Linked DNA regions of Diceros bicornis minor. Each later gene encodes a partner of the first gene's protein in a complex. Links are inferred from orthologs where the notes say so. Each region holds a gene or a part of one and is shown on either strand. Other genes may lie near its edges. The genes, in order: POLE3, POLE and CHRAC1.

Region 1 (10,105 bases):
TTAACCACTAGGTCACTAGGGCTGGCCCTGTTCTGTGAATTTCATCTCAATTAAAAAAGAAAATTGGTTCATCAAATGCAATGTGGTATTCTGGTTTGGATCCTAGAACAGGAAAAGGATGTTAGTGGAAAAACTGATGAAATATGAATAGTTTGCATTTAATTGATAGTTTTTTCTTAGTTTTGACAAATCTATCATGGTTATGTAAGATGCAAACATGAGGGGAATTTGAGTGGTGTTTATATGGAAACTCTCTCCACTCTGCAACTTTTCTGTAAATCTAAAATTGTTCCAAAATAAAAAAGCTTATTAAAAAAAGAGAAGCAAGGCTGCGGGCCACTGAGAATAGGACCCCCAGCTTTCATAAATTAGTGGTAAGATGTTGAGCAAGACATTTCTCTCTTGATGAGCCTCATCAAGAAATTGGCAAAAATAGGGGCTGGCCTGGTGGTGTAGTGGTTAAGTTCATGTGCTCCACTTTGGCGGCCTGGAGTTCGCAGGTTCGGATGCCCGGGGCAGACCTGCCCACCGCTCATCAAGCCATGCTGTGGCGGCATCCCATATACAAAGTAGAAGAAGATGGGCACAGATGTTAGCTCAGGGCTAATCTTCCTCAGCAAAAAAAAAAAAAAAAAAAAAAGAGAGAAACGTTACCTTAGCCTAGTAAGGAAACTTCAAAATCTAGATACCACTATAGGAATGATATAGGTGTGGTTGGGAAAATCTGGTGGATGACCTCAAAAGATTCTTCCCAGTTCTAAAATTCTGTCGTTTTAAGTCATTCCCCACTCTCAGGAAACATTTTTCTTAGGTAGTCAAGGTTTGGTAAGAACTAAAGCCACGTGGAAGGAGAGTTCTTTTGGGGATTCATAGTTGAATGAAGCCTTATGTTGGAGTAGATTAGAATAGAAGGTAAAGCAAGTCCTCCTTAAGCAAGCTTTGAATAACAAGTTTAAGTATGGATTTGATTTAATAGGAAGCAGTGAGGGACTGTAAAATAACAATGTTCCAGGAAGATCCACTTGGCAAGCAGTACACAGGGGAAGCAGAGATGAGGCAGGAAATGGCTCAAAGGAAGCCACAGGAATCCAGATGGGACTTGAGGGCTTAGCTGAGCTCATGGGAATTAAGAAACGATGTTTCTGCTGTGGAGAAGGAAAAAGCCACTGGATCTACATTACAGTTGGGGTGTATCTTTGTGAAATGTTATTTATAAATCCATGATTTGAAAAAGCTATATAATGCGACAGGTAATAGGGCGTTATGGTTGAGATCATGGAGGTAACAGCAGTGCTCCTTCATAGGGTCTAGGAGTTACTACTTGAAAGCATTTATAACAGTGCAGACACCTAGCAGGGACCTAATATGTTGAGAGCTGTTGAGCATCTTGTATGTGTAGGGTGGCTGGCAGAGCCATCGAAAGCCCTTGCTGTGGTTGAAGAGCAGCGCCCTTGCCTGTGAATGAGCAGCATCTGCTGGTCATCCAAGGTGATGCAGGATCCCATATTGACAAAGGTCTGGCCCAGTCCACACCCCAAAAACTGTACAGGGCATGATCAGTCGGTCCTCCCCAAAAGCACACTATAAACAAGCAGGATGAAACAGGAATCATCACTTTTAACAAGAATGTTCTTTATTTGTACAAAGCAATATAATTTTCTCAACATTCTTCACTCATCAACAAACTTTTCACTGCGTTCATTTAACATATTAACAGTGTCAAACTACACTTCACTACCTGTCAACCTCCAAGCGCTCAACTTAGAGACAAACCAAAAAGTGCTTGGAGTACCAAATGGAAAGAGAAAAAAAAACTAAGAAAGGTCAATTGAGATAACTTAGAAGCAGTTAAAGGGAGTAGGCCGGAGGGGGTGTGGGGGTAGGGGAGGTGATTCCTGAGCACCATCAGATTTCCCTTAAGGTTCAGAGAGGTTTACAAAATCATTTTTAAAAGACATGAGATTAGAACTAAGGAATAAGAGGAACCTGCCCTTTGGGATATTAAGCAGGTTATCAAAGTTCCTGGATTGCAGAAGTGTGATACGGAGAGGGAGAGAGAGTGGGAATGAGGAGCAGAGGAGAGGCAGCAGAAAGGGAGCGAGAAGCACACAGGGAGAAAGTTGTGGTGAAGTAAAACAAAGTTTGGAACTTGTCATGAATTGGAAGAATGAAAAGCCATAGTTACAAGTCTGGAAGGACTGAAAGAGAAAGCCTGGAATTTTATACCTTCCAGAAGGTGACAATAAATCCTAAAGCTGTACAGTGGCAGGCAGTGAGATGCATTTAAGACTAAACTACCTGTTTTGTAAGTAGGAGATTAGCACACTTGCTTGTGTAATTCCACTTTACACTGCTGATGTAAAATATACGTGCCCGGAGAGCAGCCACCCCAGCAGGTCAAATGCCTACAAGCAATATAGAAGGGCTCCAAGCCAAACGGGTCTGTAGAAACCGAAATCCTATCAATGTTACTGTCAACTGAAGAGACAATGGAACAGATTTCGTTGTTCTTTTAGTAGTTTCCTAAAGCTAAACCATTTTGACCACTTGTAGTAACCTAGTATTGCCAAACATTGTATAATCAAACAGGCTGACCATGATCAAAGCCCCAATTTTTCCTGAGCCTTGACTGCCTCTGTGATCTGGAACACAGCTGGCAGTACAGAAGTTATTATTACTTTTTTAAGGGGAGGGAACTTCCACAGGGATGGAAGGGAACTGGGGATCGAAAACTGTCTAACCATATATATACACGTAAAACAAGAGAGATCAAATTGACTAAATTAGCCGTTCAAAATCCCTCTTGCCAAAGAGTCATAACCTTCAGAATGGTTAAGCAACAGCATTCTGCTACTCAGATGCTCTGAGTGTGGGAAGCGCTGGTTTTGATAATTGTAGTCAGTTTTTGTTTCGATCTCCTCAGGCTCTTCTGCCTAAGACTACTCTGCCCAGCAGGGAAAAGCTTCACACAAACGTGTACCATGTTTCAGAGTGGTACCTTCCAAAGTGCCACAGTCTCCCCCACCCTATTCAGTTGTCCACTTCCTCCTCTTCATTCTGTTCTTCTTCTTCCAGTCTTTCCTCATCTTCATCGTTGTCCTCATCCCTGCTCTTGTCTGGCTCTTCTGAATCTGTTTTTTTGTCTTTGTCCTTCTTCTTTTGCTCTGAAGCTTCCTTCTTACCTTTCTGCTCCCTCCTATATGCTGTAAGGAGGAAGGGGGGAGTTAGGAGGCAGGGCTGAACCAGACAGACTGCAGAAGCTAACTCCATTGTATACCTGGAAAAGCTGAGGCACAGAAGGAAAAATAACCTGAAGAGCATCACAAAACAGATCTGAAGTCGTGCCAGCTGAACTGATTCTAAGTCACATCCAATACTTGCTCATGGGACTTAAAAGAGACTCAGGCTGAGAAAGACTCAGGACCAGGTGAGCGGGTCACACAGGATGCACATCTACTTGGCTGAGAAAACGAAAGGGTCGTTACCTTCCAGAGCTTCTTTTAACGGGTTGATGAACCGCTGGAACTCCATCTCCTCCATGGCAGAGAGCACATCACTGGCATTCAGTGTCTTGCGTTTCCCTTTCATCGCGAAGTTGTTGGCACTAAAAGAAGAAAAGAAGAAAGATTAAGTGCCATGAGAGGCTGTCAGAGACCCCCCTTGCCGCGTATGGAGGGGGTGGGAAAAGGAGCACCCATAGGTGGAACGGGAAACCCTAGGTCTTAGATGCATGGATTTTGATGACATGGTAAGCACCCTCCCTTCCCTGTACAAAAGGATTAAAGCAAACTTATTCTGTTGTTTTATTTTGCTTCAGACTTGGCAAGAAGTGGAGAACTGTGAACCTCTCTCCACTGAGATGGGACACAATTATTGGGGTCTGTGGGCCCCAGGCCAGGACCTCCGCGAGCCGGGGGATCTCTCGCGCCTCCCCTATGCCTCGGCCCCCGCTGAGCTCTGGCGAGCTCCGCCCGGCTCACCAGGACGTGGCATACAGCACGAAGACGCTGGCGGCGCGGGAGATGGCGCTGCGGGCCTCCTTGGAGATGTTGACACCGTCCGGGAGCTGTGGGGAGAGCTGGAGTGAGCGAAGCTGCCGGCCCAGGACCTGCTTCCCGCCTGCCCGCTCGTCTGCCCCGGCCCTTCCGCCAGCCCGAGCTGCTCACCGCCTCCTTGATGATCCTGGTGATGACGGCGTTGGGGAGATTTAGGTCCTCGGGCCTCTCCGCCATCGCCGCCGCCGGGGCCCACGTCTCCGCCTCAGGCCTCCTCTTCAGGCTGCTACGGCGTCCAGACTTCCCGCGTCGCCACGATCTGACCCAACAAGGCTTCCGTCCCGCCCCCGCACTGCTCACTCTGTGTCCCACAGTGCCCCGCGCGCCATAGCCTCCCTCCTCCCCCAGCCCCGCCTCCGCCTCAAGTTGCCGGTGCATCCGAACTTTGCACGCCGCTTTCGTTTTGGCCCGCCGGGGATTCCGTCTGACCCCATCGGCACCCAGCGTCCCTTCGCAGGCTGGTTTCTCTGCTCATGCCACCAAGAAGTCTGGATGTCTCGCCTCAATTTAAGTTTGGCTCACTGGCGGTTCCGTCCATTCCCCATAGTGCTCTGCGCCGCTGCCTGGCGACGGCGCAGACTGACGGCTAGCGTGGGAGACGAAGGCGTGGACTGAGCCGGCGGGGCGGGGCTCCTTCGGACGAGGGGCGGGGCCTGTCGGGCGGGGCCGCGCCGGGAGCGGTGATTTCCCGGTGGGCTTCGGTCTCTTAGCTGTTTGGTATCTGCTGTTTGGTATCCGGGACCCGTTCCCCGGGGCGGCGTTCTTCCACTTCCTTTTCCGGAACGAAGCGGGGAATCTTTTTTCAACTCTGCCGGAGCTGATGTCCATCCTTAATCTTTTCACCACTCCCGACTCTGTAATCCTGTTAAGAATAACTGTTAACTTAGAATTTTTGAACGCAGACTGCTTTGCAGCATAGCGCTAATGTGGCAGCACAGAGATGGGCATGACTAGACCTCGGGGCTCACTTCTGGCTGGGCAGGTAACGAAAGGGCAACGAGCAGCCGGTTGCAAGAATAACGCAAGACCTTCGCGTTCAAAAACAAACCCTGTTAAAACTGTGTTTATTTTTTAGTTCATTGTGTTGTGTTCACCGTACACCTTTCCGGGTCAAAAACATTACCGTGCTTTTGCAGTGGCTTTTTAAGTTGTGTCATTTTCATGTTAGGTGCGCAGAAATTGTCCTCACCCCCACTGAGTACTAATGCTGCTCTCTTTCTTGAAACATGTCTGAAGTCACCCTGCTTCGTTTTCCTGCTGTTGTTAGAGACATGAGTACAGAGAAATATTTCCCTATTATGAGAAAAACAACAACAAATGTGGTGATAAATGGCAACCGAAACTGCTTCAGTTAGAGACTGTAGCGTCTGGTGGCGGAACTCTCCACTTGGATAGAACAGACCTGGTTTAAAGATGTCAGGAGATGCTCAGCTCCAGCCAGTTGCTGTCTATTGGCATTGGGCCCCCGTGTTGGCAGATATTTTGTTCTTTATGAGGAGCCAGAAATCTGGACATCATGGACCATATTTGCATTTTAAAATAATGGCTCCAAGTCCAGGCCAAACAACACAAGTCATAGGCCAGGTGCAATCCCAGGCCAGTAGTTGGCTAGCTTTTGTCTAAAGTATAAGCTCTTTAAAACAGGGACTTATTTTGTTCATTGATAGTCTCCATGCCGGTAACAGGTCCCCTCAGATATTTGGTAGTCAATAAACTTGTTGAATAAAAGAAAGATGACAGGGACACTGTTCTTAAAAAGTTTTAGGGATTAGGTGGTAGTGATTGCCTAAAACATTTCTCCAGAGAGAAAGATGATAATATCTATTGAGCACCTATTATATATTGTACATAAAAGTACGTTATCTCATTTAATGCTTCTACAAGCCTACTTAGGGTTTTTCCCTCCCCTGCTTTCTATGAGGAAACAGGCGGAGAGAGGTGAAGTCACTTGCCCAAGACCATGCGGCCAGTCAATGAAAAGCCAGTGGCCTCTGATGCAACTGCAAGTCTACTGATTTGCTGTTTGAGCAAACCCATTCATTTCTGGTGGGTATTTTAGCTGCCCGTATGAGAATTGGAGCATATTGAAAAATGAAGCATGTCTTCCAAAGGTTTGAGCCATCTAAAGCACTTCTGTGACTACATTCGTTGTAATTTGATAAACTTTTTTGGTGATGATGGCATCTTCTCCCTAATGATTAATGAAGGGGAAAAGGAAAGGATGCTAATATTTATTTTGAACTATATGGCAGACCTTTTTTTTTTTTGTTTTTTATTTTTTGTGAGGAAGATCAGCCCTGAGCTACCATCTGATGCCAGTCCTCCCCCTCCCCCTCCTTTTTTTGCTGAGGAAGATTGGCCCTGGGCTAACATCCGTGCCCATCTTCCTCCACTTTACATGGGGTGCAGCCACAGCATGGCTTGACAAGCGATGCATCAGTGCGCACCAGGGATCCGAACCTGCGAGCCCCAGGCAGCTGCAGCAGAGCATGAGCACTTAACTGCTTGCACCGGGTGGGCCCCCAGACCTTTTAATATCTATTAACTAATTTTTTTTCCAATTACTTACTTTCTTATTTATTTTTTTGTGAGGAGATCAGCCCTGTGCTAACATCTGCCAATCCTCCTCTTTTTTTTTTTTTTTTTTTTTTTTTGCTGAGGAAGACTGGCCCTGGGCTAACATCCGTGCCCATCTTCCTCCACTTTATATGGGACGCCACCACAGCATGGCTTGCCAAGCAGCGCGTCGGTGTGTGCCTGGGATCCAAACCGGCGAACCCCAGGCCGGGCCGCTGCAGCGGAGCATGCACTTAACGCTTGTGCCACTGGGCCGGCCCCTTCAATTACTTACTTTCCAAGGATTTAATTAAGTGCTAAGGACATCTTGAAGTGCTATCAAATATTTATTAGATTAGGATCTTTTTGACAATAAATATGGATAAATTTCAAAAATAGAATACACATGTAAATTTAAAATAATACCTTATATTTATAAATACATTAATTTTTGTAATGACTCTGTGAAATAGGCTTATCCTCATTTTGCAGATGAGGAAACAAGCTCAGATTGGTTAAGACCCAGGTCACTCACTTGCCACTTTACTTCGTGCTGAGATGTTTTCATACTTGCTTGTTAGCCAATTCTTAATTATCCTGTGACCACCATTTACCTATATGGGTTCATTAGAAATATTTTATGCTTTGAGTCCAAATTCAGATCTGGAATGAATGGCTAATGTATAATACTCCCTAGTTATGTGGTGGTTATTGTTTCTCCAGGGGGCTAGAAAGCTGCAAGATGGGTTCTTGTCCTAAACCATTTGTAGCTGTGGACTCACCAGATGAAAGCCAGTGGGATGAAACCACTTGCGACCTGGCCGTTTGTCAGCATCCACAGTGCTGGGCAACTGTCCGCCGGATTGAGAGGGGCCGCCCTCGAATCCTGGGCTCCCCCTGCGAAACTCCTCCAGATGCTGAAGGTGAATTAGCCAGCCCTGTCTCCTTCCTTCTAAGATCCTTGAACTATTTCTGTTTGGCTCCCTTTTGACATGTTACATGTTTTGTTCTGGTCTGCTTTCTCAGACAAACTCCCAGTGCTCACCATTGTAAACATCTCAGATTCCTGCTTCCGGGCCAAGAGACTTGCTCATCGTCGTTTCTCAGGATTTACCTTCACCAAGGCTCACTCTTTATTGTCTCGAGGTTCAAAGTTTGACTGCAAATTTCGAGGCAGGTAAGTTATCATGGAATCTTCCATTAAGAGCCTACTATCTCAAAATTCTAAGTTGACTTCTTTTATCCATGTGTAGTAGACTTTGAGAAAGCTGGATTAAAAGTAAAACACCATTTCCATTAAAGAAGTGGTGAATAGGCAGTGGGAAACAGAAAGAAAGCATTCTTATTTGTGTTGTAGGAGTTGGTTACAATGGAGGGTGTATTAGTTTGCTAGGGTTACCATAGCAAAGTACCATAGACTGGGTGGCTTAAACAACAAGTTTATTTTCTCACAGTTCTAGAGGCTAGAAGTTCAAGATTAAGGTGTTGGCAGAATTGTTTTCTTCTGAGCCCTCTCTCCTTGGCTTGTAGGTGGCCGTTTTCTCACTATGTCTTAACATGGCCTTCCCTCTCTGTATGTCTGTGTCCTAATCTCCTCTTCTTGTAAGCACACCAGTCATATTGGATTAGGGCCCACCCATATGACTTTATTTTACCTTATTTACCTCATTAAAGACCGTGTCTCTAAATAGAGTCAAATTCTGAGGTATTGGGGTTAGGATTTCAACATAAAAATTTGGGGGGACACAATTGAGCCTCTAACAGGGAGTATCTCCTCAGCTTCTGTAGGTCATCAGAAAACTGTGCTGTCTTTCTCGTCTTTTATTTTTAGGTATGAAACCGTTTGTAAGATCTCGAAGGCAGAAGCAATGGTTTCCTTTTGAGTCTCTTGCAGAGTCTAGGCACCCAATTAGTGCTTGCTGATAGAGGAAGCTAAGGGACGGATCTGTGGAAAACATAGACTGTTAGAATTCGAAGACCCTGTTGCCTGGAATCAAAGCACTAAGTGGCCCTTATACTGGTTTCTTCTCTCCTGTTTCACTAAAGCAGCCCTTGATGATTTCTGTTAGGCTAAAGATAGTATAGGAAAGGTTAGGATTACTTTCTGGTTCTCTAGGATTTGAATCCTAGGAAAACAGCAGCTTCTCCCAGTCAGGGCCTATGAGGGGAAAGACCATGCCATCATTCATTTAGTCACTCACTGAATTCACAAATGTATCTTAGTGGGGACCACTTTGCTGGACACCGGGGACACAGTGGTAAACAAGATACAGTCTTTACCCCCAAAGGGCTTTCAGCCTATTTGGGGTGGCAAAGACCCATTCAGTGTGATGAATGTGGCGAGAAGGGTACCCCCTGGGGGTGTGGAAGGACACAGGAGGAGTTCCTAACCCAGGGTACTGCCTCCTGTACAGGTGGCATCTGTGCCTAGACCTGAAATTAGAGTACCAGTGAGGTGGGAGGTGGACGAGGAGAGAGTTCTAGACTGCAGAAATAGCACACGCAAAGGCCTGGAGGCAAGCAGAAATTCTTTAGGTGTCAGGAAAATAGTTCCCTGTGTCTGGAACATAGAGCAGGAATGAGAGAGTGGTCAGAGAGGAGGCTAGGGAGCTGGAGTAAAAAGCAGGGGCCTACATCACGCAGGACTTCATAAATCAGGCTAAGGAGTTGAATCCTTATCTTATACCTCTTTGCAGTATTCATTCATTCATCCATTTAACATGTTTTAAAAATAAAATAGCAACTGATATGAAAATGTAAGGGGATGATTTTTATTGTGGTAAATATATATAACAAAATTTATGATTTTAACCTCTTTTTTTGGTTTTGTTTTTTGAGGAAGATCAGCCCTGAGCTAACACCCGTTGCCAATCCTCCTCTTTTTGCTGAGGAAGATTGGCCCTGAGCCAACATCCATGCCCATCTTCCTCTACTTTATATGGGATGCTGCCACAGCGTGGCTTGACAAGCGGTGTGTCAGTGCATTCCCGGGATCCGAACCTGTGAACCCCGGGCCGCTGAAGTGGAGTGCCTGCACTTAACCACTTGTGCCACCAGGCAGGCCCCCATTTTAACCATTTTTAAGTGTATAATTCGGTGGCATTAAATACATTCACAATGTTATGCAACCATCACCGCTATACATTTCTAGAACTTTTTCATCATCTCTAACAGAAGCTCTGTACCCATTAAACCATAAATCCCCATTCTCCCTTCCCTCCAGCCCTGGTAATCCCTATTCTATTTTTTGTCTCTATGAATTTGCCCATTCTAGGTACCTCATATCAGTGGAATCATATAATATTTGTCCTTTTGTGTCTAGCTTATTTCACCTAGCATAATGTTTTCAGGGTTCATCTATCTTGTAGTATGTATCGGAATTTCATTCCTTTTTAAGGCTGAAAAATATTCCATTATATGTATACACCACGTTTTGTCTGTTTAACATGTTATTGAATATCTACATCAAAGGTACTTAAACTTTTATTGATAGT
Region 2 (9,725 bases), on another chromosome or scaffold:
GGAGGACACACAAGGACAGCCTTTTGGGACACAGTTCTAGGAATTAACCAAACAGGAATACTTACACAAAAGGGACAGGCAGATGGTGGAATGCTGTGCAGTCTGTAACACACGATGTCTCTGATCAAATAGTGCTAGAAGCAGAAGCATCTGTAGTGTGTGTGGAATAGTGTGGTCCCACACATATGATTTATGTGTTGGGTACTCTATGCACTTTGGTAACATTTGACATAACATACAGGGTTTTTGTTTTTTAATGAAAATACATTCCCTTATTTGGAAGGAAAAAAGAAGAAAACACTGTGGTACCCTCATTTCTAATGTGGGCACCCTTTACTTCCTCCTACCTCAGATTTCCTAAGGACTTCCAAACATTTCTTAGTTTACTATTAGGGACTTATTAGCAATCACAGTTAAGTTTAAACATCTTTCCTACCTCCCCCCAGGGTCACTTTAGACAACAAGGGGTGTTCTCAGTAACAAGAACGCGAGATGCTGTTTCAAAATAAAACCTGAGTGAGAATCGTTTACCAGGGCCAGCCCTGTGGCTTAGCGGTTGAGTGCGTGCGCTCCGCTGCTGGCGGCCCGGGGTTCAGATCCCCAGCGCGCACCGACGCACCGCTTCTCTGGCCATGCTGAGGCCGCGTCCCACATACAGCAACTAGAAGGATGTGCAGCTATGACATACAACTAGCTACTGGGGCTTTGGGAGAAAAATAAATAAATAAAATTATAAAAAAAAAAAAGAATAATTTACCTGCTGTGATTGGTTGAAACAAATTACTTCCAGGGCAGAACATGACACATCTCAGGCACACAGCGGACAGAGAGGAGATGGTGAGCGCTTGAAGGTGCCACTGAACTGGGAAGGGACTTAGGTTGGACACATTAGGATAACAGATGTGCCCGGTGATTACACGTGAACACACCTTTCATGTGGTGGGTTCTGATGTTAAGTTTATGCTGCTAAGTTAACCTCTTCAAAGCACTTACAATGTCTAGGCACTGAGTTAGCACAGGCTTCTGCGACATCATTAGGGGTCTGAAACTTCTGTACCATGGATCTCTTTGGCAGTCTGATGAAGCCTACAGATGCCCTTCTCAGAATCGTGTTTTGTAATGTATAAAATAAAATATATAGGACTACAAAGGACCCAATTATACTGAAATACAGTTATCAAAATATTCAGAAAACAATTTTATGATAGACTAGCATATGTGCATATTTATTAACATTCAGTGACGAGACCTGACAGCAGGTGCAAGGAATGAACTTATGTGTGATATCAAAATATCTGTGATTTCTACTGCGGACCAACAGGTATTGTTAATACGCTGTGGTTGGCTTCTGACATTCATAAAAGAAAATGTGAAACTTTGAGTGTAGCGAAAAGCTCACAGACCCTCTGAATTCCACCCACGATGCCAGATTAAGAATCCCTGTGCCAAATGAAGAGCTGTCGTACTACAGCAGAGACCAACCTCCAGGAAGTTCATGATGAAGAAGAACAACAACAGGAAGGCCGGTGCAAAGAGGAGGCGGTCCAGGAGGAGCCTCTTGACCCCTGCCAAGGGGACCTCGGAAGGGATCCAGTGCTCCAGGAAGAGGTAGAAGAAGTGACTCAGTGGCCCTGTGAAGAAGAACCTGTGGCCCCGTGGTGGCGGGTGAGCTGGACTGCCCCTCTCTGGACGTGCCCTTCTGCGGTCCAGCTTCACCCCCAAACCCCAGGTCCTAAAGCCTGCCTCCCTGTAGTCCCTCAGCACTGACCACAAAGGTCTGTGTGATCCTTCTAGAAAATATGCTTTCTTCGAATCTACTTCAAGCATTCTTTCCTGCCTCTCACAGACCAGACTTGTTCCTGTCTTGGATCCCCCTAATCTTCACATGGCCCACTCCTTCTCAACCCTGTCAGCCTGGAGAGTTCTTTCCTGATTGCCCTGCATGATGAACCCACCGCTGTCCCAGCCACTCTCCGTTCCAGGCCCTGTTCACTTTCTTCATAGCATTTATCACTACATGTCACAATTTCCTTGGTTTAGTTACACAGTGCTTTCTCTTCGCCCCTAGAAGGTAAACGCCACAAGACAGGATCATGCCTGTCTGTTCAGTGCCCAGAACAGGGCCTGGCTCAGAGACGGTGCTTGGTAATAAATAACTGGAAGCATCACTGGTGTTAGAACTTTTCATCAAACCCTCTTGGGTAATTAGCAAGAGCAAAACCTAGTGAGCACACTGGCTTGTGTGTATTGCCACTGTTCTTCCAAAGTGTAAAGTGCTTGGGAGAGAACTGAACCCAGCCACTACATCTATTGGGACAACAGACCCACAGCTCCATAAAATCCAGCAATGACAGATGGACAGAGCCCAAGGGTCTTCCAACCTGACAATGAAAGTCTTTAAACAAGTGGTTCTCAGTTGTCTTTTCCCACCCTGCCATAGAAGGTGAAGTGGCCTAGAGCCGGAGTTCACAGTGGGAGGAGAAGGGAAGTCTTGAGGATGGAAACTGTGATGGGATAAAGCCTCCCAGGTGATTCGGGTATACTCAACCCTGCCCCCCCATCGGGGGGATTACAACTTTAAATATATTGCAGAAAAAGCTGCAATGACTAAAGTTAGCATGCTCACAGATACAAAAATGATATTTGTAAATTTTGAACTGAAAAAAAATCACTCTTGTTGCAAAAGATTTCAAAATAATCCATCTATACAAACACTGTTGTTGGCCAGAGAACTCAGGGTGGACTTAATTGGTAAAACTCCTGAATCTCTGTGCTATTGCAATTCAACAAGTCGTTCAGGGGCCAGCCTGGTGGCGCAAGCAGTTAAGTGCGCACGCTCCGCCGCGGCGGCCCGGGGTTCGCAGGTTTGGATCCCGGGCGTGCACTAACGCACTGCTTGGCAAGCCATGCTGTGGCGGCATCCCATATAAAGTAGAGGAAGATGGGCATGGATGTTAGCCCAGGGCCAATCCTCCTCAGCAAAAAAAAAAAAAAAAAAAAAAAGAGGAGGATTGGCAGATGTTAGCACAGGGCTGATCTCACAAAAAAAAAAAAAGTGGTTCAGAAACTGGACATTTTTCAGGATACCTAAGTATTTCTTTTCTGGATGTTTTTGATATGAAAATAACAAGAGAAACTGACCACATTTGAGTCTGTTTTCCTCTTTCAGGGTCTTTGAGTCTTGAAGTCTGACTTCAGGGTCAGGTGAGTTATCTGCCCTCAGGTCTCTCAGGCCAATTAAGACAGCCTCCTCAACCCATGCAATTCAAAATAAGGACCACATAAAAACTATAAAATAAGTGGTTAATGTTATCCACCGTTCTGATTTTTCCCATGATTACTTCAAAGCTTTTTAAAAATTATTTTTCCAAATTAGATTATTCCAGAGACTTGCTCTTGATACCCTAGCTTTGTAGCACTTAGTCTGCTACTGGGTAAACCAGCCCCTTTATGGAACTCACCCATAAATGGCATATCTGAGAGGCCCACTGACATCTAGCTTTTGAGAGCAGTTTTCTTTTTTCTGCTGCTTCTCAGACATCTGGGCCAGCAAGTTCCCAAGTGCTGACAAAATGCCACTGTGGACAGAGAGGTAATCAGAAAACAGGAGCAACTGCAGGAGGGCATGTGTTCCTGAGATTATGCTGGGGAGGGGTGGAGAGGAGTCCTTATTACAGCAGCCACAGTGTAAGGCTTCTACATAAAAACGTAGACACAGTGGAACTTACACACACACACACAAAAACACAGGAGTACAGTAAGCTTTCCAATTAGTGGATTGTATCAATGTCAATATCCTGATTGTGATATTATACTATAATTTTGCAAAAGGTTACCATGTGGGAAGGGGGAGTGTGTGGTTATAAAAAGGCAAGAGGAAGTATCCTTATGATGAAACTTTTCTGTATTTTGACTGTAGTGGTGGATACATAAACCTATGCATGTGATAAAACTGCACAGAACTAAACACAGGCACACACGAGTACAAGGAAAGCTGAGTATGAAGTCTTAATATGATCTGTGACTGTATCCATGCCAGTGTTCTGGTTGTGATATGTACTACAATTTTACAAAATGTTTCCAATGGGGGAAACTGGGCAAAGTGTATGAGGGATCTCCTTGTAAAATTTCAATAAAACGGTAGAGACAGTCGCTCCAAGGGTTGGTCTATAGTTGCCTTCTGAGAAGCTCTCTGAGCTATAAAATCCAAACTTGTTAGTATGGACGATAAGGACCTTCTTGATCTGATCCTTGGCTACTTCTTTCTCATTTCTCCCTTTCTCACTCTTCATTTTCTCCAGGGACACAGACCTTCTTTCTACTCCTCCATCAATAGCTTGCTCCTCCCTCCAGACCTTTGCACCTGCTGTGCCCTCTGTCCGGAGAGCTTTTGCTTCCCTTCTTTGCATGGCCTATCCCCTCTCTTCATCCAGGTTTCTGTTCAGATGTCACCTCCTCAGATAAAACTTCCCTGACACTTTACCTGTATTACATATTTATCTGCTTTTTGTCTGGCTCTTCACTAGAACGCCAGCTGCATGAGGGAAAGGACCTTACCTATCTTAATCACTGCCGATGGCCCAGCACGCAAGAAGCACGCTGTACATATTTACAAAAGACTGAACTAGTAAAAAGGGACAAACTCATGAAATTAATTAAAGTAATGAAGGGGGAAATGTCTCATAAAAAGTTTAGTGCTCCAAATCAAAGGGTGGAGTTACCCAGCAGTACCGAGAGCGCTTTCAGTTTTCTCCCAAATGCAAGGCTGCCGCAGAAAACAAACCTGCACACCTCCCACCCTGCCCAGGCCTCCTGTGCGCTCCTCAAGGCGTCTACCTCAACGCCATCCTAACTCTCAGAACACGCGCAGGCACAGACAAGCTGTGCGAGAAGCTGGGCCCCATCTGTCTCGGGACGCTCCCTCCAGGGCAGCGGGACCAAAGGCGCAGAGGTCTGCAGGCAGTCCTCCGTGCACCCCTTTAGTCGGGCTCCCTGGAGTTCACATTTCACAGTGCCTGAGTTACTCTTCGGAACCGAAGACACAAAACCGCATATGCTGAGCTTTCTGGTTAATTTACGGTCTTTGGAGGGTCATTCAGAGGCACGGGGATTCTTGCCTTTCACACTCAAACCCCCGTGGAAGAGGCACCTATGTAGCGGGGTCACCGGGGCCGTCCGGGCTCCGGGCTGCCCCCGCCCGGTCCCGTCCCCCCGCGCCGACCTGGTGGCCGCCTTGGTGAGCACCGGGTAGAGCCGCAGGAGGCGCAGGTACTGGGCGAGCGCCCGCCGCGGGAGCGCCCCGAGCCCGGGCTCGGCCAGCAGCCTCGACGGCGCCGGCGCCATCACCTCCCGCTCGCCGCGCGCCCGGGTGCCGGCCCCGCCTCAGCCTGCCGGGAGCGGGGCGCGGGGCGCCGGGCGGGGACGGCCTGACATTTCCCGCCCCGCCGCGGTCCGCAGCGCCGCCCGCAGACCCCGCCGTGCGGGGCGCGCGCCTCCGCACACTTTTCCCGGAGTCCCTAACGGGCCACCGCCCCTCGGGCGCCGGCGGCGATTGGAGCTCCGCGCGCCTGCGCACACCTCGCCTAATTTCCCCGACGGGCCACCTCCCCTCGGGCGCCAGCGGCGATTGGAGTTCGGCGGGGCGGGGCGCAACGAGCATCCTGATTGGGCGGCGGGGTGCTTCCGCTCTCTCGCGAGAGTTGGTGGGAGCGCGCCAAATTTCTCCGCAGAAGCGGCGGCGGCGCGATGGTTCTGAGGAACAGCGGACGGCGGCGTGCCGAGCCGGGCGCGGACGGCGAGGCGAGCCGGTGAGCGGGCCCCGGGCGGGCGGGCGGGCGCTGGCCCTCCCCTTCTGCGGAGGTTCTGGGCTCGCAGCCGAGGGGTCCCCCTGAGGCCAGGCAGGAAGCCCGTGTGCGCCGGGCCCGAACGGCGGTCGGCGGCGGCCGCGGGCGCTCCTCCTCAGCTGCGCGGGCTCCGCTGAGGGACGCGCCCGGCGCCGTGGCCTCCGCGCCGGCTCGCTCCGCGCCTCGCCCGCCGCGGGCTCTGCGCGTCTCGGCTGCCCCTTCGGGCGGGCGGAACGGCCGTGCGGCCGGTGGTCAGCGGTGTCCCGGCGCCGCGTCCTGGCCCCGTCCCCGGGGCGCTCTCGCGGCGCCACGTCGGCCCCTGTTCCGCAGCCGTGTTCACACGGGCGGAGCCAGAGGGCGGCGGGGGCCCCCGGGGGGAGGGGCTCCTCGGGGCCGGAGCAGCGCGTCCGCGTGGTTTCCTCGCGCGCCGGCGCGCGGAGCCGCCACTGACGCTCCGCTCTGAACGCAGTCCTCAGAGCGGCTGAGAGACGTGGAGGACGGCGGTCGTGACGGGAGCGGTAGTTTCTGTGGCAAACGCTGTCTGTCCGCGTCCCTCAGTCCTCACGGGGCGCCTGCGAGGCGGGTGCCGCTACCCGCGTCTCGTGCTTGCGCGGGCCTCGGGGGTGGAGTGTTGCCCGAGCTGGTGGTCGCTGCGCCGGCGCCGTGCTCAGTGCCGTCCCCACAGCAGGCGAGGCCGCGGTAGTGGGGAGCCGTCGTCGCTGTCAACTTCCCTGTCTGCCCTGTTCCCACGCGACACGTGGACTAGCTCCTTGAATCCTCTCGGCAGGCCTGGGAGGCAAGCGTGCCCCTGGGGCAGCGGTCGAGGGCGTGGGCTGGGGGATGTGCCTCCGTTTCTGCCGCGAAACGGCGTGCTTCCAGTCCCCCTGGGGGGCTGTCGTGAGAATTGATGGGGAGCGCGCAGAGCGCTTGGACAGCGTCGGTCATGTAGAAGGGCGGTAAACGGTAGTTACCATCTTTGTGACTACTAGCTCCGTTTTTCAGATTTTGTACTATCACGGGAGAAAAAGTGAGATGTGCCGCTCAGAGAAAACAGTTTTGGGAGGAGATATGATCCGAGTGAGCGGGTTTCTTATCTGCTTAATCAGCGCATTTGATGCGAGGATGGAACGCAGGGTATGTGGAGGAATGTAGTGCAGAGGGCTGCAGGCCCTGGAGTAATGTTCCATGGGCAGCCCTGCATTCAGTCCTGACTTTCGTGAGATCTGGACCTCAGACTGAATTTATGTATGTTCTCTAGCAAGGCCTGGAATCCAGTTTTCCTGTGTTTTTGATTTAAAGTGAATCCAGATATTTTAGAGAGTAAACAGTCATACAGTATGGTGGTGTGTTGGTTTCCAATTGCTACTGTTAACAAATTACCACCTAGTGGCTTAAACAATGCAAATTTATTCTCTTACTTTTCTAAGGTCAGAAGTCCTAAAAATCAAGATGTCGTCAGGGTTTCATTCATTCTGAAGGCTCTAGGGGAGAATCTGTTTCCTCACCTTCTGTAGCTTCTAGGGGCCACGTTGGCCCCCTGCATTCCTGGTCTTGTGGCTCCTTCCTCCGTCTTCAAAACCAACAGGGTCACACCTCCAGTCTCTGTCTCTCTCTGATTCTGGCCATCCTGTCTCCCTCTTATAAGGACCCTGGTGATTGCATTGGGCCTACCTAGATAATCCCCATCTCAAAATCTTTGATGTAATCACGTCTGCAAAGTGCCGTTTGCCGTGTAAGGTAACACAAGTTCCCAGGATAAGGACGTAGACATCTTTGAGGGGGCCATTATTCTGCCTACAACAGGTGTTAGAATCTTTTGTGAAAAGTAAGGATCCTAATCTTGAAATAGGTCATTCTGTTCTTCGAGTGGAGGTGACCCAAGGAATATGTTCAGGTGAAGGAAGAGTGTTTCTTAAGAAACAATTCTCTATCCACTTCTATTGATGAATTAACAATGGGTGAAATATGTTGTGGTAATTAAGGACATGAATTCTGCACAAACTTGGTTCAAACCTTTTTTTTAATTCTCTTTGATCTCTGTTTTGTATATTTAGCTTATTTAGACTGCTTCCTTTTTTTACTCCTCTTATAAACAAATCCGTGATGAACATCTACATAAAAGAAATTATTTCCCGTACATCAGTTTCCTTGGCATAAATTCTTAGAAGTGGAATTGCAAGGTCAAATGATAGGGCAGGGCTGGCCCCGTGGCTTAGTGGTTAAGTGCACTGCTTCTCTGGCCATGCTGAGGCCACGTCCCACATACAGCAACTAGAAGGATGTGCAACTATGACATACAACTATCTACTGGGGCTTTGGGGAAAAAGGGGAAAAAAAAGGAGGAGGATTGGCAATAATGTTAACTCAGAGCTGGTCTTCCTCAGCAAAAAGAGGAGGATTAACATGGATGTTAGCTAAGGGCTGATCTTCCTCACACACACAAAAAAAATGATAGGGCAATATTTTGAAAACACTCACCTTGTGGAGAAATCTAATAGTGGTCAGAGATGGAATGGTCATATAATTTCATCAAGAATTGTGGTATCCTAAGAACCTGGAAACATTTAGCAAGGAGCTGGAATCAGATCCTGGGAAGTGAGAGGCGATGGAAGGGAAGGAATGAATGTCTATTCCTGTTGGGAGAGAATGTCTTTGAGACCTGGATTACTGTGAAACAACCCACATTGCCCTGTTCTTTGGAAGAACACTTTTAGGGAGAGCAGTCTAGCAAGAATGAGAACTAGTGTATCTACATATGCCTGTTTGACTGAGGATGCAGAGTGGTGGGAATCTGGTCGATTCTGCACAGGAAATAGATATTTACCATCTCCACTCACCACCTCCACTTGCTTGTGTTTAAATTTTTTATTTATTTATTGTTTTTCCCCCAAAGCCCCAGTAGGTAGTTGTATGTCATAGCTGCACATCCTTCTAGTTGCTGTATGTGGGATGCGGCCTCAGCATGGCCGGAGAAGCGGTGCATCGGTGCGCGCCTGGGATCCAAACCCGGGCCGCCAGCAGCGGAGCGCGCGCACTTAACTGCTAAGCCACCGGGCCGGCCCTCCACTTGCTTGTGTTTAGAGCATCACTCTAAACACGTGCATATTTTCTCTGCTCGTTGCTTTACAAAGTAACTCATTTATTTACATTAAGACAAAAAGACATGGGATATTGATTCTTAGCTATACATTTTTGAGGAGTGGAGAATATACTTGGCTTAACAAATAAATAGACCTTCTTGCCAAAAATATACAGGTTCAGAATCTCAGAACTGTGGTTTAAAGAAGAAACTAACAATTTTTTTTTTTTTTTAAGTGGGAATGCTAGTAAACGGAAGGATTGTTCTCTTTCGAACATGGGTAAACTGTAATTATTCTGGTTTATCTAGATGAAATCACACCTCTGGAGTTAAAGATTGTGAACCATTTGGGATGAACCTAAGCTCTAGAATCCTAACAGGTTTAGATAGTTCTGGTGGTGGAAAGTCTTCATCAAGTACTTATTTTAAGGTTTATGATAAAATCCGTGTGAAGAGTTGTTACAAGATCCTAGCCAGAGAGAGGCTTGGGAAGTTTGAGGCAGATGTACTGGTACTATAGAGCTGAGAAGTGAGTTTCCTTGTCAGTTGAGATAGTTCCTCTCACACAGAGCAATATTATATCCCCATTTTTATCCATACGTGGTTGTACTGACATCTAAACCCAGGCATCCTGGAAGATATATCATGTTTTTAAGGTATAGTTTATTCTGCTGCAACAGGTGTTTCCCTAACTCCAGTTAGCTCATATGCAATTGATAAACAGGAGAATGATGTCAGTAAAATGTGGCGATTACATTGGTTCATTTGCAGTTTTCCCTAGGCAAGGGGATCGGAATAGAGGG
Region 3 (9,955 bases), on another chromosome or scaffold:
CTTACAAGGGTGCTAAATGCCGCAGACACCCCGCCCTCGATCTGTGGGGTTGTCTGGTGAATGGGTCTGAGAGCACACTCAGGTGCAGTTCAGGCAGTCTCCAAAAGTCAAAGAGAGCCCAGTGCAGGGCACTCCACCAGCTTAGTGAAGCAAACCACTCAAGCCGCTGCCAGCTGTTGGAGCTGACACAGAATCTAGAACCTCTGGTAAGTCAGCTCTGTTGATAAATTCAGCCCCATCAAATGTCATGCTCTTATACTGTTAGGATCCATTCCCCATATACTTATTCCCCAAGTTTCTGCAGATAAAAATACATGAATATCCTGTGATTCTTTCAGTGTGAACATCTCCTAAACTGGGCCTCGCACTGATTCCCTGGGGCATGCTGGGATCTGACTCCAATTATGGATTGGAGTTAATGAGGGGCGAGTCTTCAGAAGACTCAGCATCTCCTTGCCAGGTAAGCACCTCAAGTGAGCTCATTAACAGGACTTCAAGCAGGCAAAGACTAATCTCAGGCAGGCAGGGGGGCTATTTCCACTAACAAATAGGCTCAGAGGGATGGGGGGTGCAAGTTTCTCCCATTTGCTTGTATCGTCCCAACTATCCCCATTCTAATTCTCAGGATCCCATTCTTCCCAATCAATAGCCCAACTTCACTGAGAAGCCCTGGTGACGCTGTGAATTCAACTTCTGTTGTAATTATGCATCAGGTAGGATCAAGGGTGGGTCTGACCTTTAGTCTTATCAGCCTCAAGGCTACAAAAGATAAGGAATCACTTAGGACCATCACAGAAGCTCGTTCTCTGACCATGCTTGATCTGCGAGTTTAAAGCCCAGAGCTTTCAATTTTCTTTTGAAATCTCTCCAATGCAATCAGAAGAAGCCAGCCTATCCCGCAAGCCTTGTCTCTATTCCCACCATGATGGTCACTGGCGGGAGCTTTGCCTTCAATGGACACTCCATCCAGGCAGGTGATAATTTAAGTAACTGTTTTGCCAGGGCATGCTGCCAATGAGGTCATCTCTGTGGACCAGCATAGTCAGCTCAGATAACCAGCCCCAGATTCCCATATTTGTGGATCTGTTTCCTACAACCACGGACACATTTCAACGTTCAATCAAAAAAGCAGAGAGGCTGGCCCGGTGGTGCAGCGGTTAAGTGCACGCACTCCGCTTCGGGGTTCGCAGGTTCGGATCCTGGGCATGCACTGAAACACCGCTTGTCAAGCCACGCTGTGGTGGTGTCCCATATAAAGTAGAGGAAGATGGGCATGGATGTTAGCCCAGGGCCAATCTTCCTCAGCAAAAAAGAGGAGGACGGGCATCAGATGTTAGCTCAGGGCTGATCTTTCTCACACACACACAAACACACACACACACAAAGCAGAAACTTTTTTAGATATTTCAAACAGAGAGGGATTTAATGTTAAGAATCAAATTTCAAGGGTGTTGGAAGAGCTGCAGGAGCATGAGGGAGAAGGTGCTCTTAAGAAAAAGAGGAAGGAGATGCCGCGCAGAGATCAGGAAGCTGGTACTGCCCTTGGCTTGGTGCCGAGGAGCCCACACTTGCCTCGGAACTGCTAGAGATGCTGCTGCTGAGCAGAAACCCAGGGTGAAGCCACTCAAACCACCACCTATGCAACGTTGCTCACCATGACGCCCTGCAGTCCCCACCCTGCTGCCAACGCCCTCACACAGGCAGATAAACAACTTCCTCCTCCTACCCGGCTGCAGTCACTCACTAGTGTCTCCCATTGGCAGAATGGAGCCAGAGGCCAGCTAGCAGGGGCTTCTGGGAAGAGTAGTTAGTGGCTTTCTAGCACCTTAGGATACAGACACAGGAGGGAGCAAGGAAAGGTGCGACACCTCTTGAGATGTTGTGAAGAGAAAGGGAACTAATGGATAACAAAGCTAACAACAGAATGACACGATAATTCACTGTGCTTTTTCTAGGGCAGGCAGGTTCCCAAGGTTTATATATTCTTTAGTTCTCCTACTCTTAGGTTTGAAGCTTGTTTCTTTTTTTTAAGTGGTGAGCACTTTCCCACTTTTCTGAAGATTTCCTTCTTTGCCCCTCTCCTTACTTCTCAAAATGATTAATGACTGCAAATATCCTCTGCCAATTCCATGACCTGAGCTTCTCATCCCCCTTTCTCCTTGAATTCTTTTGGCTCTCTTCTTTTCACTCTCCAGATGCCTTCCTCTTCTTTTTCTTTCCTAATCTTAACCCATCCTGCTCTCAAACATGCTGAATGAGAATGACAAACCTTACATAAAACAGTAACCAGCTAGAGAAACAAAACATCTAAAACCTTTAACATATAGCAACAATACAGCTTATTTCTTGTGTGGACTGAAGGACCCTACCATGTAGTTGGTTTTTGTTGGGCAGTTTCTTGCTCTTTCCTTCTGTGAATGTCAAGGCTCTCCCACTTACAGAGGAAAGGAGCCCCTTTGACTACGAGCTGAATCCTGAAGCTGAAGCAGCACCTCCTGCCCCTGCTCTGCACAGGGCACGGTGCCAATTGTCATCACCTGGCAGTTCCAGTGGGATTTTACGTTGGATCTGCTCCCTTACTTCAAAACTCGCATGGCTTTCCTTTGCTCTCAAAAGGACCGTCATACTTCTTGCCTGCCTGCCTGGCGGGCCCCACCTACCTTGCTAACCGCCTCTCCCGCGCCCTCTGCCTCACTCACTAAGCCCTAGCCACACTGGCCTTTCAGTTCCTCAAATTTGCCAGGGCATCTTCCTCCTCAGCCATCCTTCCCACAGGCTGTTCAGAATGCTCGTCTTGCCCCAGCCTCTCTGCATGGCCAGCTCCTTTCCCTTCTTCATGTCTGAGCTTAAAGATCACTTGCACACGATTGTGCTTCTTCCCAGCACTTACCATAGAAGGTATTTCTTTTTCTGTCTCCCTTGTCCTTGAAAGTAAGCTCCGTGAGAGCAAGAGCTATAGCTGTCTTGCTCACTGGCTGTACCTTTGGGCCTAGCAGTCCCTGACATGTATTTGGCGCTATTATTTGGGCCAAAACCTGAGGTCACAGTGGTGAAGATGACACTGTCCTTGCATTCTTGGCCTTTACCTCCTAGCGAGGTAGCTCACAGCAGGTCTAAGACTACTGGGTCATTATGCCTGAAGGTAGATGTGAAAAGACTTTTCTAAAACCCTAATACCACAAATGTCATTAATCTGGAGAATCTGTGACATCTGGCCTCCGGTCCCCTCCTCAGGAAGACTAAAGAGCAGTAATTTTCAGCACCCACTAATCTTGTAGAAACACGCTCTACAAGTATACATTTTATATTTTGTAATCATTACCTAAGTGATGGACAGAATTGAAATCAGAAAAGTTAAACAAGGTATATTTGAATTTTCAAAATGCTTTTCAGATGAACTTTGAAATCAAAGTTAACTTGGGGTAACAAGACCTTGCAGCAGGAACAGGGAGACTTTACACAGTAATTTACACTTTTGCAGAGTGCTTTACAGTTTACAAAAAGCTTTCTCATTCCCATCTCCTCTGACCCTCACCACTGACCTGTGAGGAAGCAGCGCTGGATGGAGTATCACCGACAGGGTGGGGAACTTGGATCTCAATATGCCAGGCACTTGCACACCTCACAACAACCCATCATCATCTTTGCAAATAAGGAAACAGTGGTTCAGAGAGAACACTTGCTTTGCCTGAGGTCACACCTGGTGAGTGGCAGGATAGTCATCTTAATTGACCCTTCAGCTCTTTTGGATGCACTTGATTAATTTATCCTTTCAGAAGAACTTTCTTTGTTTGGCTTTACGGACACCCGGTCTCTTGGTTTTCTTCTCACTCAATGACCACTTCTTCCCAGTCTCATTTGCTGTATTTTCCTTCTCTTCCCCATCTCGGAATGTTGGAGAATCCCAGGACGTGGTCCTTAGAGCTTTCTACTCCATCCACTCTCTCCTCCTAGATATTCACCCAGGTCCATGGTTTTAACTACCGCCTAGACAGTGGTGGCTTCTAAATTCACTGCTCCAGCCCGAATTCCAGGCTGGAATATCCAATTGTCCACTCAATACTGCCACAAGGGTTTGACAGGCAATTGAAACTTGCTCCAAACCAAACCTCTGCCAAATTTGCTCGTCCAGCAGAATTCCCCATCTCAGTAAATGGCACCATTCCTTCACTCATACTCCACATCACATTAGCGAGTCCTGTTGACTCTATCTTCAAATTAGATGCCAAATCCTACTACTTCCCACAGCCTCCACCCTGGTTTAACCTGCCATCATTTCTCAGTCCCATAACAGCTTCCTAACAGTGCTCTCCACCTGCTTACATTCTCGCCCTCCTACAGTCTGTTCACACACAGCACCTTGAGCATTCCTTGTAAAACTTCAGTAGGACCACCTCACTCTTCCCACGGCCTCGCAACTCATATGGAAAGAATTCCACGGTCTGTAAGACCCTACCTGATCTGGCCTCTGGCTACTTCCTACCATTCTTTTCCTAGCTCATTTCACCTTAGCCACACTGGCATCCTACTCATCACCTGCAATCACCTTCTACCTGATCTCTCTGCTTCCACTCTTACGACCCCCGGTCTATTCACAATCAGCAGCCAGAGGGATCCTTTTAAAGACATATCCCATCATCCTTCTGATATCTTTCAACCACTTCCCATTTTTCTTAGAATAAGATCCAATAGGACCTAGCGCGCCTGGTTCCACGCCTCGCTCATTCTGAGCTGCCCTGCGGGGGTCCAGCCTCCAGGCCTTTGCATTTGTTGTTCCTTCTCCCAGGAATGCGCTTTCTCAGACGTCAATACGGCTTATTTCCTCTCTTCACTGCCCAACCTTCTTCCCTACCACCTTGGTTAAAACAGTACTCCCGGTCTCTGTATCTTCTGACACTGCTTTCTTTTCCTTCGTGGTATTTATCCTATTTGCTTGCTGTTTACTTCGTCTTCCCTCTAGAACGCTGCCTTCAGGAGAGCGTTCTTTTGTTCACACTGCATTCCCAGCTCCAGCACAGCGAGGGCAGTGAATCAACATTCCTGAAACTTTCCATCCCCCTCCTGGCAGAGCTCTCCCCTACCGTTCGCCTCCCTCAACAGCACCCGCCCTCCCCTCGGGACCTCCTGCTCCCCCGTCCCGCGCCCCGCCGTCCCAGCCGGCCGCCTTTCCATCCGCTCCGCTCGGCGCAGGGTGCCGAGGGCTCCTTCCGGCGGCCTCGGGGGCGCGGGGCATCACGGGGCTTGTAGTCCGCCACCGAAAGCGCGGCTGCCGGCCCCCGCGGCCGCGCCTCCCCGACACTACAACTCCCACGGGGCAACGGGACGCCGCTCCCGCACCCACCGTGTCGGCCGGCCACCTCGCGGCGGGCGGTGGGCGGTGGCGTGATAGCGGGCGGTCCCGGCGGCCGCCGCGGGGGAGGGGCGCAAAGATGGCGGACGTGGTCGTGGGCAAAGACAAGTGCGGGGAGCAGCGGCTCGTGTCGCTGCCCCTGTCCCGCATCCGGGTCATCATGAAGAGCTCCCCCGAGGTGTCCAGCATCAACCAGGAGGCGCTGGTGCTCACGGCCAAGGCCACGGTGAGGCGGGCCGCGCGGGGAGCAGTGAGGAGCCACGAGACACGGGCGGGGATGGGGCCGCCCGCCAGCCTCGGCCGCGCCGCCGGCTCCCCCCCGGCCCGCGCGCCGCCGGTTGCCCCTCGCGGTCTCACGTGCGCGCGCCCTTCCGCGCCCCGTCCTCCCTCGCGCGCCCCGAGCTCCGCCCATCCCGCGCCGTTCCCGCCCTCCCTCGCGCGCCGTCCGCCGTCCCGCGGGCTGACGCGGCTTGTTTTGGTGTGTCGTTGCCCTGCGTCGCCGTATTCCCGTCCCTAAAGCCTTCGCTTTTCTCGCTTCCGGCCTGTTTGGGGGTTTGGGGGCCCCAGCTCCTCAGACGGTCCGGGGCGAGGGCCCGGGCGCCGTCCAGCGAAGCTCGAGGGCTTCCTCGGGAGGTGGCCGGGCCGCGCTCCCCGCGTCTGCTAGGCGGGCCGCAGTGGCATCCCGGAGACCTCCGCTTCCAGCCGGTGTACTAGCCCCCTCCGAGGTGCGGGACAGATCATTCGTCTCTTGTGGTTTGGTCTCGATAGTGGCGTGTCAGAACCCTTCCTGTTTTACACGGGGCCGTGTTTGAGCTGCCGTCTTCATTGTTTTAACTTAGAGTCTGTTTTCCAGCCCCTCCGAGTTCAGGACACAGTGTCCCTACGGTATGTTGGACTAGAGCTAACGGAAGTGGGAAATCAGATTTCTTGCCTGCTTTATGCCAGAGCCATGCTTTCTTAGAGCCCAGGAAAATAATTGCCCGCTCAGCATTGGGATATTTGTGTTTTCCTGTACAATTTCATTCTGTAAGTATTAAGGAACTGTGGCTTATGCAGGCCCTTCTTTAATCCCTTACTGAGCAAATTAGATGGAGTTAAAGCAAAAACAGAGAGAGGGGCTCAGTCCAGGTTGTTTCTTTAGGGAAGGTATTGGTGCAAAATGGGAAATGTCCATTTTCAGCTTCAGGTTGCTGACTATTATAGTTGTAGGCAAACCACCTTGGACACAATATATTCAAATGAAAGACTAAAATTGTGTTCCTGAGCCAGATAGAATTTTCTTTTTTTTTTTTAATAATTTTTTTTATTTATTATTTTTTTCCCCCAAAGCCCCACTAGATAGTTGTATGTCATAGTTGCACATCGTTCTAGTTGCTGTATGTGGGACGCGGCCTCAACATGGCCGGAGAAGCGGTGTGTTGGTGCGCGCCTGGGATCGGAACCCGGGCTGCCAGCAGCGGAGCGCGCGCACTTAACCGCTAAGCCACGGGGCCGGCCCAGATAGAATTTTCAAATGGTCTCATGCTCCCTTTTTACTGTACAGATTGGTTATTGCACATTTATGATTCATTAATTACTTTTAAATATTTTTGATAAGTTAGAAATCTAAAATAAACTTTAGGGAAATGCCTTCTCCACCAACTTTGATATGGCCTTGCTTTCCTTCTAACCTCATATTTCTCCTTTCCCCAGTGATTTCCTGTAATTTGAGAAACCAAGATAATCTGAGTTCATCTAAACTTAAAGTAATTTAAAGATGAAGTTCTATGATAAGTTTTCAAAGCACACCTTTCATTTTACTTTTTGGTTTTGTTTTAGGAACTCTTTGTTCAATATCTAGCCACCTATTCCTACAGACATGGCAGTGGAAAAGAAAAGAAAGCACTCACTTACAGTGATTTATCAAATACTGCAGAGGAATCGGAAACTTTTCAGTTTCTTGCAGGTACTTAGCCTTTGAAACATTCTGGTTAAAAAATGCTTAGTAATTTGCAACTCTTTCTTTCCTGCTTTCACTGAAATTGACATTTTGCTGCTTTCTCCAGGTGCCAAAGTTTTCCACGACCTGGCACAGGAAGACCTTTTATGTTTTGTCTGAGTGTGTTTGTAATGTGGTTCACCTAGAACGATAGTGAAGTCAACAGCCTGCACCAAGGATGTTTGGCTGGCTGGGTGAGCCTGGCAGACCCACCTCCTCAGACTCCTCCTTGCCACTGAAGGGAAAACTCTGGGCTGCTTTCCTTGGCCCCAGAAACAGAAAAACTAATGCTTGTTGTTGTAATAGTTGTGGGACACAGCCAGAAAGAGCTTAAGTCTACCCTTGGGGCCAGCCGGTCTGAGGTGGTTTGGGCAGGGTTGCTCAGTCGTTATCAGCACATAGAAGCACATAGTTTGCAGTCAGTAGAATGGAAACAGGTCTTGAGCATTAGTCAGCAGACAGTGCTAGTTTCCTGCTATTTCACCCAGAAGTGTAGTCTGAATTTTGTCTTGTTTTGGAACCTATTCTAAAGCAGGAACTAGTTGGGGCCGGCCCGGTGGCGCAAGCGGTTAAGTGCGCGCGCTCCGCTGCGGCGGGCCGGGGTTCGCTGGTTCGGATCCCGGGCGCACACCGACGCACTGCTTGGCAAGCCATGCTGTGGCGGCGTCCCATATAAAGTGGAGGAAGATGGGCACAGATGTTAGCCCAGGGCCGTGTTCCTCAGCAAAAAAAAAAAGAGGAGGATTGGCGAATGTTAGCACAGGGCTGATCTCACACACAAAAAAAATAGACATGATTTTTCATAAACAAAAAATTAAAAAATAAATAAATAAATAAAGCAGGAACTAGTACATTTTGAAATTTGCATTGCTGTATTCATGGTGTACCACAACCAATTGCTGATGTTAGCTTTATGTTTTTAAGATATATTACCAAAGAAGATTTTAGCTAGTAAATATCTGAAAATGCTTAAAGAGAAGAGAGAAGATGACGAGGAAGAGCATGACAACGATGACAGTGATGATGATGACGCGGAATCCTAAACCAAAAAAGTGCTTTAAAAATCAACCTGGTGAAGACCGTTCTGGATTGGCACCATTACTTTGAAGTAAGCACAACACTGTGTGACTTTAGTCTCCTCGATTTTCAGAGACTTCAAGTACATTGTATTCTTTCCTGGCTGAGATAGAGCATCTGAGGCACCTATACCATAAATAGCCAAAAGGAAAGTAACCCAGACAACGGCCTCTCTTTGACAGGTCCCCGCTGCAGTTGGAGGGTACCAAGAAAGAGTTGTCTGTACAGTCAGGCACTGCCACTCAATCTGCTGCAGCTATAAGCAGCAGAGGCAAAGACAATTTTGCTTAACTTTTAAATTTACAGATAGATTTTGAAGAGCTTCTAAATATCATTTGTGTAAATTCGTATATGTATATTTTGAAATCCTTATAAACAACTAGATCCAGTTTTAGCTAAATATGTAGTTTATGCGTAGTATGTTACATTTCAGTTTTTGTATTTCAAGAAAATTTGACTATTTGTCCAAATACTGCATTTTTTTAACTGTAAAGAAATAAATTTTTCTTTTTTATTAAAAGTTGTACATAGTTTTACAGTAAAATGCTTTATGAAACTAGTTTTAGAACCCTCCATTGTTTTACTGCCTTGCTTATTACCTGAGACTTTTGTGATATTTAAAAATAAGGATTTCTAACACTTATTCCCAGAGAAGAATTTCAAGTCAAATTAGCCAATGCAAAAAGAAATGTTACCTCTGCATGAGCATATTTTTCTTAAAAAACGTTTTAAAACATTTTGTATGTTGAAGATCTCTCTTTTTACTGTTCTTTTCTTTACACCCATTGTGATTGTTTTTACTGTCCACAAGAGGAAACCATAAGCCCTATTTTTTTTTCACATACAAATTTTTGGCTCTTGTCTTTTCAGTCTCTTTTTTAAAAAAAAAAATTGAATTATAATTTATATCCAGTAAAATCATCCTTTAATGTCAAGTCTGTTGGTTGTGTAAGCAATCAATATACAGAACAGTTCCAGTCACCTCAGATGTTCCCCTGTATTCTTCTGGAGTTAGTCCCTTTGCCTATCCCCAGGCAACCACTGATGTTTTCTGACCATCTTGTTTTTAGAATAAAATATTTTAAAATCCACTTTTTGGTGTACAGTTCTGAGTTTTTTTATTTTTTGTTTTTTTGGTGAGGAAGATTGGTCCTAAGCTAACATCTGTGCCAGTCTTCTGCTATTTTGTATGTGGGTCGCTGCCACAGCATGACTTGATGAGTGGTGTATGTCTGCGCCTGGAATTCAAACCTGCAAACCTGGGCTGCCCAAGCGGAGTGCGCTGAACTTAACCACTATGCCACTGGGCAGGCCCCAGTTCTGAGTTTTGACAGATGCAGAGTCGTGTAACCACCAGCACAATGAAGATACAACAGTTCTGTCACTTCCCCCAAATTCCCTCATGGTCAAACTCATTCCTACCTTTAACTTTGACAACCACTAAGCTATTCTTTGCCTCCATAGCAGGAGCCAGCAAACTTTTTCTGGAAAAGGTCATATAGAAAATATTTCAAGTTTTGTGGGCTATATAATCTCTCACAACTACTCAG

The links.
Region 2: POLE3 (region 1) and POLE share a complex: the UniProt entries of both Homo sapiens proteins name them as parts of the DNA polymerase epsilon complex. The link is inferred for Diceros bicornis minor from reciprocal best matches to the Homo sapiens genes POLE3 and POLE.
Region 3: POLE3 (region 1) and CHRAC1 share a complex: the UniProt entries of both Homo sapiens proteins name them as parts of the CHRAC ISWI chromatin remodeling complex. The link is inferred for Diceros bicornis minor from reciprocal best matches to the Homo sapiens genes POLE3 and CHRAC1.

The regions. Positions count from the first base shown.
Region 1 is NC_080767.1:21,636,798-21,646,902, forward strand, and holds POLE3 (DNA polymerase epsilon subunit 3), read right to left. Parts: upstream 4,353-10,105; 5' UTR 4,233-4,352; coding exon 4,167-4,232; intron 4,067-4,166; coding exon 3,981-4,066; intron 3,605-3,980; coding exon 3,486-3,604; intron 3,204-3,485; coding exon 3,031-3,203; 3' UTR 1,612-3,030; downstream 1-1,611. Other genes in the region: C28H9orf43 (uncharacterized protein C9orf43 homolog), read left to right, coding at 6,016-6,101, 7,335-7,534, 7,638-7,788. UniProt on the Homo sapiens protein: Accessory component of the DNA polymerase epsilon complex. Participates in DNA repair and in chromosomal DNA replication.
Region 2 is NC_080774.1:479,117-488,841, forward strand, and holds the start of POLE (DNA polymerase epsilon catalytic subunit A), read left to right. Parts: upstream 1-5,722; 5' UTR 5,723-5,745; coding exon 5,746-5,807; intron 5,808-9,725. Other genes in the region: PXMP2 (peroxisomal membrane protein 2), read right to left, coding at 1,483-1,645, 3,462-3,578, 5,222-5,343. UniProt on the Homo sapiens protein: Catalytic component of the DNA polymerase epsilon complex. Participates in chromosomal DNA replication.
Region 3 is NC_080760.1:53,261,005-53,270,959, forward strand, and holds CHRAC1 (chromatin accessibility complex protein 1), read left to right. Parts: upstream 1-5,371; 5' UTR 5,372-5,429; coding exon 5,430-5,576; intron 5,577-7,168; coding exon 7,169-7,295; intron 7,296-7,395; coding exon of another isoform or gene 7,396-7,448; exon of another isoform or gene 7,449-7,858; intron 7,859-8,252; coding exon 8,253-8,371; 3' UTR 8,372-8,964; downstream 8,965-9,955. UniProt on the Homo sapiens protein: Forms a complex with DNA polymerase epsilon subunit POLE3 and binds naked DNA, which is then incorporated into chromatin, aided by the nucleosome remodeling activity of ISWI/SNF2H and ACF1.